Diceros bicornis minor: one gene and its partners. The protein of the gene in region 3 interacts with the protein of the main gene of each other region in a pairwise test. Links are inferred from orthologs where the notes say so. Each region holds a gene or a part of one and is shown on either strand. Other genes may lie near its edges.

Evidence for each region. The genes of interacting proteins can lie anywhere in the genome.
Region 1: the proteins of TRIM2 (region 3) and LRRC8E interact in binary tests that used the Homo sapiens proteins (3 or more experiments, as listed by UniProt). The two-hybrid records come from large-scale screens. The link is inferred for Diceros bicornis minor from reciprocal best matches to the Homo sapiens genes TRIM2 and LRRC8E.
Region 2: the proteins of TRIM2 (region 3) and UBAC1 interact in binary tests that used the Homo sapiens proteins (3 or more experiments, as listed by UniProt). The link is inferred for Diceros bicornis minor from reciprocal best matches to the Homo sapiens genes TRIM2 and UBAC1.

What each region holds. Positions count from the first base shown.
Region 1 is NW_026691615.1:694,755-698,500, forward strand, and holds the start of LRRC8E (volume-regulated anion channel subunit LRRC8E), read right to left. Parts: upstream 2,835-3,746; 5' UTR 2,766-2,834; intron 2,484-2,765; 5' UTR 2,283-2,483; intron 925-2,282; exon of another isoform or gene 1-924. UniProt on the Homo sapiens protein: Non-essential component of the volume-regulated anion channel (VRAC, also named VSOAC channel), an anion channel required to maintain a constant cell volume in response to extracellular or intracellular osmotic changes.
Region 2 is NC_080767.1:42,825,877-42,829,622, reverse strand, and holds the start of UBAC1 (ubiquitin-associated domain-containing protein 1), read right to left. Parts: upstream 2,492-3,746; 5' UTR 2,363-2,491; coding exon 2,225-2,362; intron 1-2,224.
Region 3 is NC_080750.1:41,471,988-41,475,733, forward strand, and holds the start of TRIM2 (tripartite motif-containing protein 2), read left to right. Parts: upstream 1-1,248; 5' UTR 1,249-1,460; coding exon 1,461-1,463; intron 1,464-3,348; exon of another isoform or gene 3,349-3,746. UniProt on the Homo sapiens protein: UBE2D1-dependent E3 ubiquitin-protein ligase that mediates the ubiquitination of NEFL and of phosphorylated BCL2L11. Plays a neuroprotective function. May play a role in neuronal rapid ischemic tolerance.

The DNA.
Region 1 (3,746 bases), on a different chromosome or scaffold from region 3:
GGGGCTGGGCTTCCAGGCTCCTGGGCTCCCGGCCCACTCTGTCTGTCCCTGGGTTTCATTTTAGACCAAGGTATCATTATTCCAGATACAGAGGGCCAGGAACAGGGCACATGGGGGCGTGGGCCACAAGCTGGGACATTACCGACGAGCCTCCCTCCGCCTCTCTCCCTGGGGCTGGAGGGGGAGGAAAGGGAGACAGCGAGGCCTCCACTGCCTCCAAGGGGGCTCCTAGGCTCCCCCTCCCAGCCTCCATGCTCCCCAATGTACAGCCCCTGTTTTCTCAGGCAGGTTCCTGGAGCCTGCTGTCCTCATCTTGATGGCCTGTCACTGGGCACAGGCTGCACAGGGGAGGGAGGCATCTGGGCTGCCCGCTGGTCCTCCAGCCTCTCTCCCATCTCCTGGGGGGAACCTGGCCCCTGTCCCACACCTCAGCCAAGCACTCTGACATCTCCATGCCTCCCTTTTTGGTCCTCTGAAGACCTTTGGTGACTCCTGGGTGAGGACAAGGTGGGGTGGGTGGGGTTACAGGATGCATGCCCTGCCCACCAGGCTGAAGCCTGGGCAGTCCACCACACCCCTCAATCCCATCAGAGGCTCCCACCTCTGTACCCTGTATGGGGATGGCAAGCAAGGGACAGGCACACGCCTGCCCACACCCGGGCTCCTGGGTCCCCTGACTCAGGCCCTGACTCACCTAGAACCAGGCACACAAAAGGGGTGCACAGACAGAGCACAGATCCCTCACATAATGGCCTGTCCCTCATGTTCGGTTTTACACCCTGTCCAAACGAAAAGCTGAGTAAAAGTGTCCCAGTGCATCATGTGCAGTCTCAGTCACCAAAGAATCTGATAGAAATACCCGAATGACAGCTCAACAGCCTCCAGGGGGCCGAATGTACATTGCAGCCACCAAAGGGACACGTGGGGGCATGCTGGAGCGTGCAGCTTGTACATGTGGGGACACAGTGCAAGTACACACACTGAGCTACAGGGAGACCCAGGACCAGGGAGCCAGCCACAAACCCTCTTCCAGCTCTGGCCACCCACTGTCCTCCCTGCCGCGTCAGGACCTGCAAGGGACCCTGCTCGGCTCTAACCTAAGAACAGTAACTCTGGGGGCTGCGGCAGAAACGCCACACACAGACAGGGACTGACTTCCTGCCCGAGTGCCTGCCGCGCTTCAGGACCCATCTCACGACGTTGGAAGCTCCACCACCCCCATCCCGGGTCCACAATCAAAGGCAAGAAGGCAGAGACCTCCAGGGTCCCCAGTGAATGGCCCAGTGGCTCCCACAGAGCAAGGTGGACACACAAAACCCTCAGAGGCAGACACGGGAGTTATCATTATCTGTCTCTGTGACTCAAACTTGATGGTCCCGAACCTGCCATTAAGCTTCCACAGACACAAGGGTGGCCCCCCTTTGTCTGAGCAGGGCTGGTGGGAGGGTCCAGGGAGAAGGGCTCTCGGGACCGGGGCCCAGAGAAGAACAACAACAGAGCCGCGCACCGCTGGCGGCCACCAGACGCTTTCGATGCCTCGTTTTGATTCCCCTTCTGTGAGCGTGGGTGTCGGGACCTCCTTTCCCAGACTCGGGGGAGTGAAATAACTTGCTCAAGGTTTCACAAGCACAAGTGGCATCTGAGGCGAGACCCTTAAGTCCCCTCTGTCTGATTGCATCGTTTGTTTCATCTCGGGCGAGAACCTGTTCGAGCATCTTTGCCAAAAGAAGCTCAGAGCGGGGTTCTGGCAGGGAAGACATGGGAGGATGGCTGATCTGCATGCCAGGCTTGTGGGGAGGGTCTCGTCAGCCTGGGACCAGGTACATGCCCCCTACCCAACCTTACCTCAGCCCATGCATCCTCACCCTTGCTTCTCCCCTCTCAGGCCCTCCCCAAGCCCCCAGCTTGCCTCCAGAAACATGGTGGTTGTGGGCTCACCTGGTCCAGCCCCCCTCCCCACCCACCCCCCATGCTAAGGGGCAAGGAAGACATAGCGACTTGCTGTCAGCCCTGAAACCCTGGAGAGGTTTTTTTTTTTTTTCCTGAAGAGGATTCGCCCCTAGATAACATCTGTGCCAATCTTCCTCTATTTTGTATGTGGGTCGCTGCCACACTGCGGCTGATGAGTGGTGTAGGTCTGCACCTGGGATCCTAACCCAGGGTGCTGAAGCGGAGCACAGGGAACTTTAACCACTAGGCCAGGGGGCCGGGCCCTGGAGAGGATTTTTGACTTGACCTTTACACAAGGGAGAAACAGAGGCCTGGGTGGGGGAGGGTCTCACCTTAGTGGCAGATCTTGGGTGGGGCCCCAGGCCTGGGGACTCCCAACCTAGTATTTTTCCAAGCTGCCCCGCCAAGACTTGGGGTTCAGAGGATTCTTGAGGCTCAAGAGTTGCAGAGGGGGCAGCCTGGTGAGGACCCCACGTGGTAGGGTTCTGGGGCATTGAGGGGCTCACACGGATGAGTTGTGGCTGTAGTCTAAGCTGCCAAGGAGAGGGGAGCGTCGTCAAGACCCCCAGGGTCACCCCCAGCCTGTTGATCTTCACTCAGTCCTCGGTCAGGCCTTCGGGGCTCCCTGGACAGGCGCCCTCGGGAGGGCCCGGGCTGAGCCTCTCTCTACCCCCAACCCCCTCCCCAGCTCCTTGCGTGTCCCGGACGCCGGCTAGCTCAGGCCACAGGGCTAGCCGCACCTGGAGCGGTCCTCCCGCGCGCGCGACCCCGACTCCGCCACCCCAGTCCCCAGGGACGGACAGCCACCTACTCACCGCTCCGGGACCAGACGCTGGGCCCAACTCCTAGGTCGCTGGGAGCGGAGCGGCCGCGACTCCCGCGGAGTTCCCGGCCCGCCTGGGTGAGTCAGGGGGGCGGGATGGGAGCCTGGGAGCCGCCCCGCCCCGCCCGCTGGACGTCTCGGCCCCGCCTCCCTCCGGGCGCTCCAGGTCGCCCCCCACTCCTGGCGCCCTGGGATCGCGGGAGGAGGGCGATTCTAAACCCGCTCTCCCCGGGGTGGGCAAGGGACCCGCCACAGGAGCAGGGGCCTTAGAACTCCAGGCTTGGCTGCTGTCGGCCGGACCTGGAGTGAGGGAAACTGAGGGGGCTGGAGGGCTGTGCTCCCAAAGCCAGCCTGCGCGCGCCCTTCTGGGAGCCAGGCTCTATAGACCCTATCAGGAGCGCCTGGAAGGCGCCCCCCATTCGCCCCAAGGTGCGGCCACCTGGCCTTGAAGCCCAACCAAGGAACCGGGTGACCAGGGACCAGGGAAGGGGAAGGGGCCTCCCCCTTCCTGCTCTGACCACCCAGCCACGAGGAGCTGAGCAGAGTTGGGGTGCTCTCCTGTGGGAACATGCCCATCCTTGAGGACAGCCTTCCACTGGGGAAAGAGGAGGAGCGAGCTGCTCCCAGGTCCTGGGGAGGGGGACGCCAGGGGCCAGAAGGCTCTGGGAGCTGGGGCTGGAGTCCAGTCTGGAAGGCCGGCTTCTAAAAAGGATGACTGCCTCCCCACCGAGGGAGGCCTGGGCTGGGTCTTAGACCAGCAAATTGCCCAATTCAGCACGGAGGCATCTGCGATTGGACCTTCATCGGCTCTGTCTGCAAAAGTGAAGGGAGAGGCGACCTGGATTAGGGTGAGTGAAGGAGACCCCTCCCCCACTGGGAAAAAGAAGCCCACGAGTTCACCAGATGAGAGACAGCCTGAGACCTGAAACCTTGAGGGTTGGGACCCCCTAAGCTTAGGTTCCTCTGTGAAACC
Region 2 (3,746 bases), on a different chromosome or scaffold from region 3:
CTGTCATTTGAAGATTCGCCTTTACGTGATCTAAGAATGTTAAGTCACACCAGCAGGTATCATGTTCCCTACTGGCAATTTCACGAACACTTACCATACAGAAAACACCCCACCACGTTACAGATGTAACTTTCTTAAACTCATTAATCTCCTCTTACACAGATGGTTCACTCTGCCCGTTCCCCACTCCCCGACTGTGGGGCAAGAAGCCCACAGTGTCCCCTCAAGGTAGAGGGGAAAGAGAAAGGAAAAAAACGACACCAGCTTAGCACACACCAGGGGGACCTGGGGAGGAGGAGCAGGAGCTGACATCCGCCTGCCCCCTGCCTGCAGCAGGGCCTGGTTTCCAGGGGGACATTCGAGCACACAACTCGAGAATTCTCTTTCCTAACTAATGCAGTCTGACGGCTCAAGAGGCAGCGCTCTGCCTACAGAACGGGATGGGCCTGGAGGTGAGAATACTTTCTGATGGCTCTCAAGTCCTGTAATTCATGTTGTCTCTTTGGGTGTGAAACTCCCCTACTGATTGGATCCTCCACACCTGGAGGGACTGCAGAGTGGAATGAAATCTCAATTTAAAGTAGGATAATGCCCAGAAAAAATCCCAAACAATACATCTCAATACCGACTGGAATAATAAATATCGGGAACATAATAATCAGCATCATATCAAAATAGGCTGCCTAATGAACCCCAAGTGCTCCTGAAATTCATTAGCAAGCATCTGTGGATCAAACAGTTCTCATTTCCTGTTTCTCTTCATAAAATAATATTATGGCAGTTATGTAAATCCGTACCATTAGTGAGTTACTCAAAATGCCACACCAATTTACCCACTGACTTCTCCCTGCCTGCCTCAGCAGGTGACAGGCCACGTCCACGCAATTCTGGATCAGCAATCTGCTTCCATTTGTTCAATTAACCCACACGTGAGTTCTGGCGCTGGATGTGTGGATACAAACCCAGCCCTCGGGGAGCTCCCGTCCTGGGTGGGGGAGGACACAGCATCTCAGGGAGGCTTTTAAAAAACATACAAGACTAGACAAGCAGCAGTGCCTGGCTCTCAGTCTAGATGTCCATGGAGCCCCTGCCTCCTACCTCAGCGCTGTACTGAGGGTTATCTAGACAGCGAAACCACACCAACCAGGTCAGAAGATAAACAAAAGGCTGCCAAAACATACCTGCCCCTCCAGTGAGTGAGCCCAGAGCCCCCTCCTCCTCGATGTGTATCACTGAGGCCAAGACAGCACCGTTATTCACATCCAGCTCTCACAACCAGAACGCTCTCTGGCCTGCCCCAGACAGTTACAGAACTCCCCAGAACCACACTCACGGGAGTGACTCAAAAATATTTGTAGGTAGTTATTATAACTGGAAGTTTATCCTGGGAGATGACGCTTAGCTTTATTTTAACAAAACATCTTATCACAAATACAGATATCCAACTTATCACAATAAATATATAACTTAACGGACTGAAAGACCGCAGCCTCCTGTAACCCAAATTCTACATCACACCAAGTATAGAGTTTCCTTAGGCAGCCAGAGTCAGACACACAGAAGCCTTAGCCCGCCTTACAGAGTCGAGAAGTTTACCGAGAGGAAACCAAGAACTAGTTCCAAAAATCAACGACCTAAGAAACTAACTCGATGAGGAGTATTTCACGTGAATAAACTTTAAACGGCGGCTCTCTCAGGAGGAGCCCCTCTCCCGGACCTCCCCCCCGAATCAACCTCCAGGCCGCGGGAAGCAGGGGCGCGGGGACACTGTGTTAGGGGATTCCAGCTCGGAGGCGGGGGGCCAGAGCCCGTCCCGGCGCCCACGCCGGCCAACCGGAGACAGCTCGGAAGCCGGCTCCGCAGGGAAGGGAAGGGATCTCCCTCCTCGGGCATTCACTCCCAGCTCTGGGGGCCTGCTGAAAAACCCAGACCCTCACCCCGACAGCCGGTACGCACAAGCGCGGGTGCAGGAGGAAGCCCGGCTCCCAGCGGCGGCCTCGCCTCCCGGAGCCTCAGTTTCCCGATCCGCCCTCCCCCGCGGGCGGCTGTGGAAGGTGAAGGAGAGGATGGAGTGCAGAGTGCTCGGCCGGGTCGGGCGCGGGAAGCAGCGTCCAGGAGCGCCGGGTGCGGAGTGGGGGGAGGAGGCAGAGGCGCTGCCCGGCCCCGGCGCGGGGACGGAGGGACGGAGGGGCCGACGGAGGGGCCGGGGCGCGGCCGGCCTTACGTGCTTGAGGCAGCGCTCCTTGAGCTGCTCCACCGTGCTGTCCTCGGTCGCCTCCTCCAGCCACTCGGCGCCGTCGGACGCGCAGATGTGCAGCCGCAGCACCTTGCCCGTGAAGATCTTCTCCTCCTGCACGAACATCGCGCCGCCGCCGCCGCCGCCGCCGCCCGGGCCTGCGCCCGCCGCCCGGGCCCTGAAGGTCACCGGGGCAGGCGGGCGGGGCGGGGGCGGGGCCAGGCCGCCCGCGCGCTCCCTCGCTGGCCGCCGCCGCCCCGCCCCGGCCCCGTTGGCCGGCCGCCCGTCACTCGCCGCGGCCTGAGCGGTCGCCTCGCTCCGCCGCCGAGCCGCCGGGGGCGCGCTGTCGCCGCCGCGCCGGAAGTGCTTCACAGGGCGCGCCCGGGGCATGCCGGGAGATGTGGTTCCTCCGCGGCCGCCTGGCTCCCGTCGCGGCGCAGAAAGTGCGTCACAGGGCGCGCCCGGAGCGTGCCGGGAGATGTGGTTCCTCCGTGGGCACCTCGCTCCCGCGCCTCGCTGGATGTGCGTCGCGGGGTGCGCCCGGAGCATGCCGGGAGGTGTAGTTCTCTGGCCGCTTCCTTCCTCTCGCACCTGCCGCGCTTGGCAGCTGGGGGCCGCTAGCCGCGTGGAACCGTTGAGCTGCTAGACGTTTGCGGATGAGCGCTAAGCGTAAAATACACACCAGATCTCCCAGGATTAGGAGGAAAAAAGAATGTAAAATGCCTTAATAATGTTTTTATATTGATTACATGTTGAAATAATAGTGTGGATATATTGTAAATGTGTATGTATTTGGGCGTATTAAGTAAAATATAATGAAATTGATTTCACCTGTTGGTTTTTACTTTTTAAAGAGGCGGCCAATGGAAATTTTAAACTGTATATGTGGCTGCTATTGTGTTTCCCTTGTGCTGCGCTGCTCTGGAGCACTTTCTCAAAGTGCGGTCCCCAGACAGCGGCAGCGGGACCTGGGACCTTGTTGGAAGCGCGGGTTCTCCCCCGCACCCCGAGCCTCGCGTGTCAGAGACGCCGGGGTGGGCCCAGCACTCAGGCTGCAGAACCGCTGATGGACAGTTAGGGGGCTGGTGGGCACCTGGAGGGAAGGAGTCTGCCCTGTGGGCCGCAGTGCACCCATCTCCTGCGGGGCGGTGACTATGAATGCTGCAGTTGGGGCCGAGACCAGGTCACTGACCGCACCCATGCATTTCATTCATTCCAAAAACCTTTACTGAGCAGAGGTGATTACAACATAGTTCTTGTTCTCAGAGGCTGGCAGTTACATGGGGAGGTGGTCCCAGCTTCTTTCGCCCTCAGGCATTCACTCTCCACGTCATTTTGTACACGCGTCCTCGCTTGCCCCCGGTGATCCGTCCGATCACGTCCGAATTCAGTTTGTCCAGTCTAGCGTTTACTAATTGCCTCCATGAGCCAGACCCTCTGCTACTCACTGAAACGAGTGACGATTAAGGCCGGAGACCAGGATGCAGTCCTGAGAATGGGCGTTCTTATG
Region 3 (3,746 bases):
CCGCCTGGAATAGCATACTAAAATTGGCATCCCGTATCTGTCGATTTCACTGGATTCTCTATGACTTTCTCTTTCACTGGATTCTCTATGACTTTCTCTTTCACTGGATTCTCTATGACCTTCTCGCTCCTACCTCCGCCAAAGGTAATCACTGCTCTCCAGAGCTAAGGGCCCCTTCACAGGGCTCAGTGCAGTGCCTGACTGCGTGGAAGGGATGTGATGAATATTAATGTAATCAAATATGAAAATTCACAGTTTTAGGATTTAAATAAAAATTATTAGTGTCCACTTTTAAACAAGTAACTAACGTAGGAATAGAATGCAATATGGTTCCCTGCCTCCATTGCTGTAGAAAAGGGAATGATTGTGAATTCCATTCTGACATGTAAGTTTTTTTTATTCTAAATTATTATTCGTAATAGGATGATCTAATCATTTTTATATGGCTACTTGCTGATCATTAGTATGTTATTAAAAGCTTTTAAAAAATAAGTTTAATGACTTCATAGGAAATCAAGTTATGTATATATGTAAAGTTTGTCGTTTCTCAACATTTAGCTGAAAACTTGTGCATCATCAGAAAAACATCAGGTTCTGTTCACCCCCTGAATCAAATAAATGTACTCTATGATTTTTCTCTGAATGATTAGGACCACAAAAAGCAGAGAAACGTCATTTGCATTATTTGACTTTGAGGAGCTGTGTTTTATAGACCCTTCTCTGGGTTAATACCAAGAGGGGAAAAGGTAGTAGAGGCTTGTTGAACTGGGCTGCATTGCATTTTTAAAAATTTGCATTTGTGTTTCAAGCTATTTGAAAAGTCTAAGAAAACAGATCATCTTTTTCTCTAACTCAAGGAAGTTAAGTGTGTGCTCTCACATTCACCCAAACTCTCCTCTAAATTTGCACTTTTCAAATTGAGGTACCGTATGCCTAGTTTTCTTTCTAGAATCTATTCTCACTGCATCCCCCTTTTGCTTATCAACACATCCTCCTTCCGATTTCTAACACGGTTCCTGTCCCGGCTGCGTTGCACCGGGAGACGGGCATAGGTTGCCTCTCCCTCGGTTAATCGTGCAGTCACATTCTGGTGAGGGACCTCAGCAGCCCAGCACCAGAGCATGGAAACAGCTGACTGCTGACTCAGAGGGGAAAGCAAGCCACCCACGAATCTCATTGCAGCTCGCTACTGCATCCCTATCCCATAATCCCTTGCTTGGTTTGCTGCAGTCTTTTCAACAGACGCTGAGTGAGAAAAAGATGTCCTGTGAGATAAAGATTGATGGGTTTGAATACCGAAGGGGGTCTCCCACTTGTTAATGACCCAGAAACATTCCTGCCGACTTTCCTGAGCCTTCTCTCCTTTCCTCCATTTTTCTCTTCCTCTGTTCTGTTCATGAACTGGCACATCACTACATAGAGCAGAAGATATGCTGGGCTTCTGATGATGGCTGCACTGCATGGTAGGGAATTTTAACCAGTCTCTTTGCATGGTGCTTCCACACTTGAGATGTTAGCTGAAATGTGCGTTGTTCTTTTGGATCGTCGCGGAGCTGCAGCGATAGGCTTGGGAGGGTTTAATTCTTTGCCTCGTTTATTAGTCTGTCTGCAGAAATGGGTAGGTCCTAAATGTTCGGATTGCTTAGTATTATGCCAGGTGGATAACTAATTTCTCATACTGTCTCTGTTCTGGCTTCCCCCCAGCCCCCAACCCCCATAGTGATGCTGTATGCTCTGTAACTATAAGATAGAGGGAGACCCACTCTTTGCTTAAACAAAGGCATCAAATTAACAAGAATAGGGAGAAAGTCATGCAAGATTTTCATATCAAGTTCCTAAAGTGATCTGATGACATTTTTATAATATGTATCTCGGCTTATTTTAAACAGGAAATTTTTTTCCCCTGCATCTCTCTGTTGGGTACAAAGATGAGGATGAACTATTTAATTTGCAGGATCCCTTCCTCCATATCTCAGGGCGGAGGAAAATGTGCAATTCAACCCTTCCCCCACCCCATCCTCTGTTAGAGAACCCTGGGGTTAAGTGCCAAGGTTCCCAGTTACCATTGGAAACCCATTCATTCATAATGCATGACTCGACCCCCTGAATTCTGAATGCCATTGATGATCAGCAAATATGCAGGAGATAATTTGGGGTTTTTTTTCTGACATTTTTTCCCTGCCTTTGAAGTAGACTCAAAGCTGGGTGGAGTTCAATGGTAGCATTACACAGAAAAAAAGAAATCCTTGGGTTGGACCTTAGGTTTGCTTCCTGAAACAGTGGGTATTATTTTTGTATCAGAGAGCTTTTGCTACAAGTATGCCCCACCCTGTCACTATTCCTTATTTTGGGGGATAGGAGAGCAAGTAGGAAGGCTATTTATTTTAAACTAAGAATTGAATGTTAGTAAGTGGATTTCTGAACCAAAAGGTAAAGTGATAGTTGTCTTAAGAAAAGATGGTTTCAATGTCATAGTTTTAAAGAACAGATCTAGAGTCAGAAGGAGGCATTTTAAAAATTGTTGGTTTGTTTCTCTGGCTTAGATCATATTAGGACAGTTTTATTCCTCATGAATAAATTATTAGAGGTTTTTTTTTTTTGTTAATTAGAATATGTAAGGAGAGCCATTTGTTTGCCCAGATTCTTAAACTGATTTCTTAAATATTAGGATTCTGGTGTGAACCTATTTTCGGGTGCCTTTCATTATTTCTCAGCAGGTGCTTTGGTAGCACTGTTCCTACCCCAGTGTCATGTTAAATAATGCACGCCCCTCCCAAGCAAACACACAATGAGAAGTTTCATGTGTGCTGTGCTATGAGAAAGCAGCTTTCTGCTGCAGAGATCTGAGTAGTGGCCTTTCTCAAACCTCTAAGTATTTCTTTCCCATTTTCTCCTAGAAAGACACAAGCAATTTGTACTGAAAGGTTAGGACCCGGCTGAATGTAAAAATGTTCTCTGATAGAATGTGCTGTTTCGAGAAATAAGAATGTAGCATATATAACCCACATATTTTAAAAATGGAGAATAAAATCTATACACATTTTTCACCATAGTTAATATTATAATCCTGAGATGACTTAATTTTTTAAATTTATATGATAACAAAAGCTTAGGTGATTTTGTTGCTTGTGAAATAAAGTAAAAATACTCATTCTTTGTCTTACTAAGAAATGAAAATGTCCTTCATTTGGATATCTTTAGAGATTAATTTCTCCAAATGTATGAGTTTCTTTTATCTATCTTTATTAAGTAGAAAAAAATTCTAAATATATAGCAATTTTTAAAAATTTAAGCTTAATTTTTAAGACTCCCTTGTGCTTTTTTTTTCATTGTCTCTCCCATAAAACTAAGACTTTAACCAAACATGTGTATGTATTAGTGAAATGTACAGAAGAGAAATACTTTCAAACATTAAAAAACTTGCTACCAAATCATTTGCTATCATAATTTTTTTTTCTTTCAAAACCGTGGCTGAATTACTTCTAATTCTGGCAAAATTATAATTTCCATTCACCTGTAGTTGCTTTTAAAAAAAAATATCTGTGATGCATCTGTGCCCCTTGATTACTTATATAAGGATTTTAGTGTAAGAGTAGAATTTGTGGTCTGTAGTGGAGTTGGCTATTAGGGTTCTCTGAATATTATTATTGTGTAGGTTGTCTGAATTTAACAGATCAGGTTTCCTCCTAGAATTTGGAGGCTTAAATTAGACCAGCTACTGAGGGGAAAATGAGCCCAGTATAGTT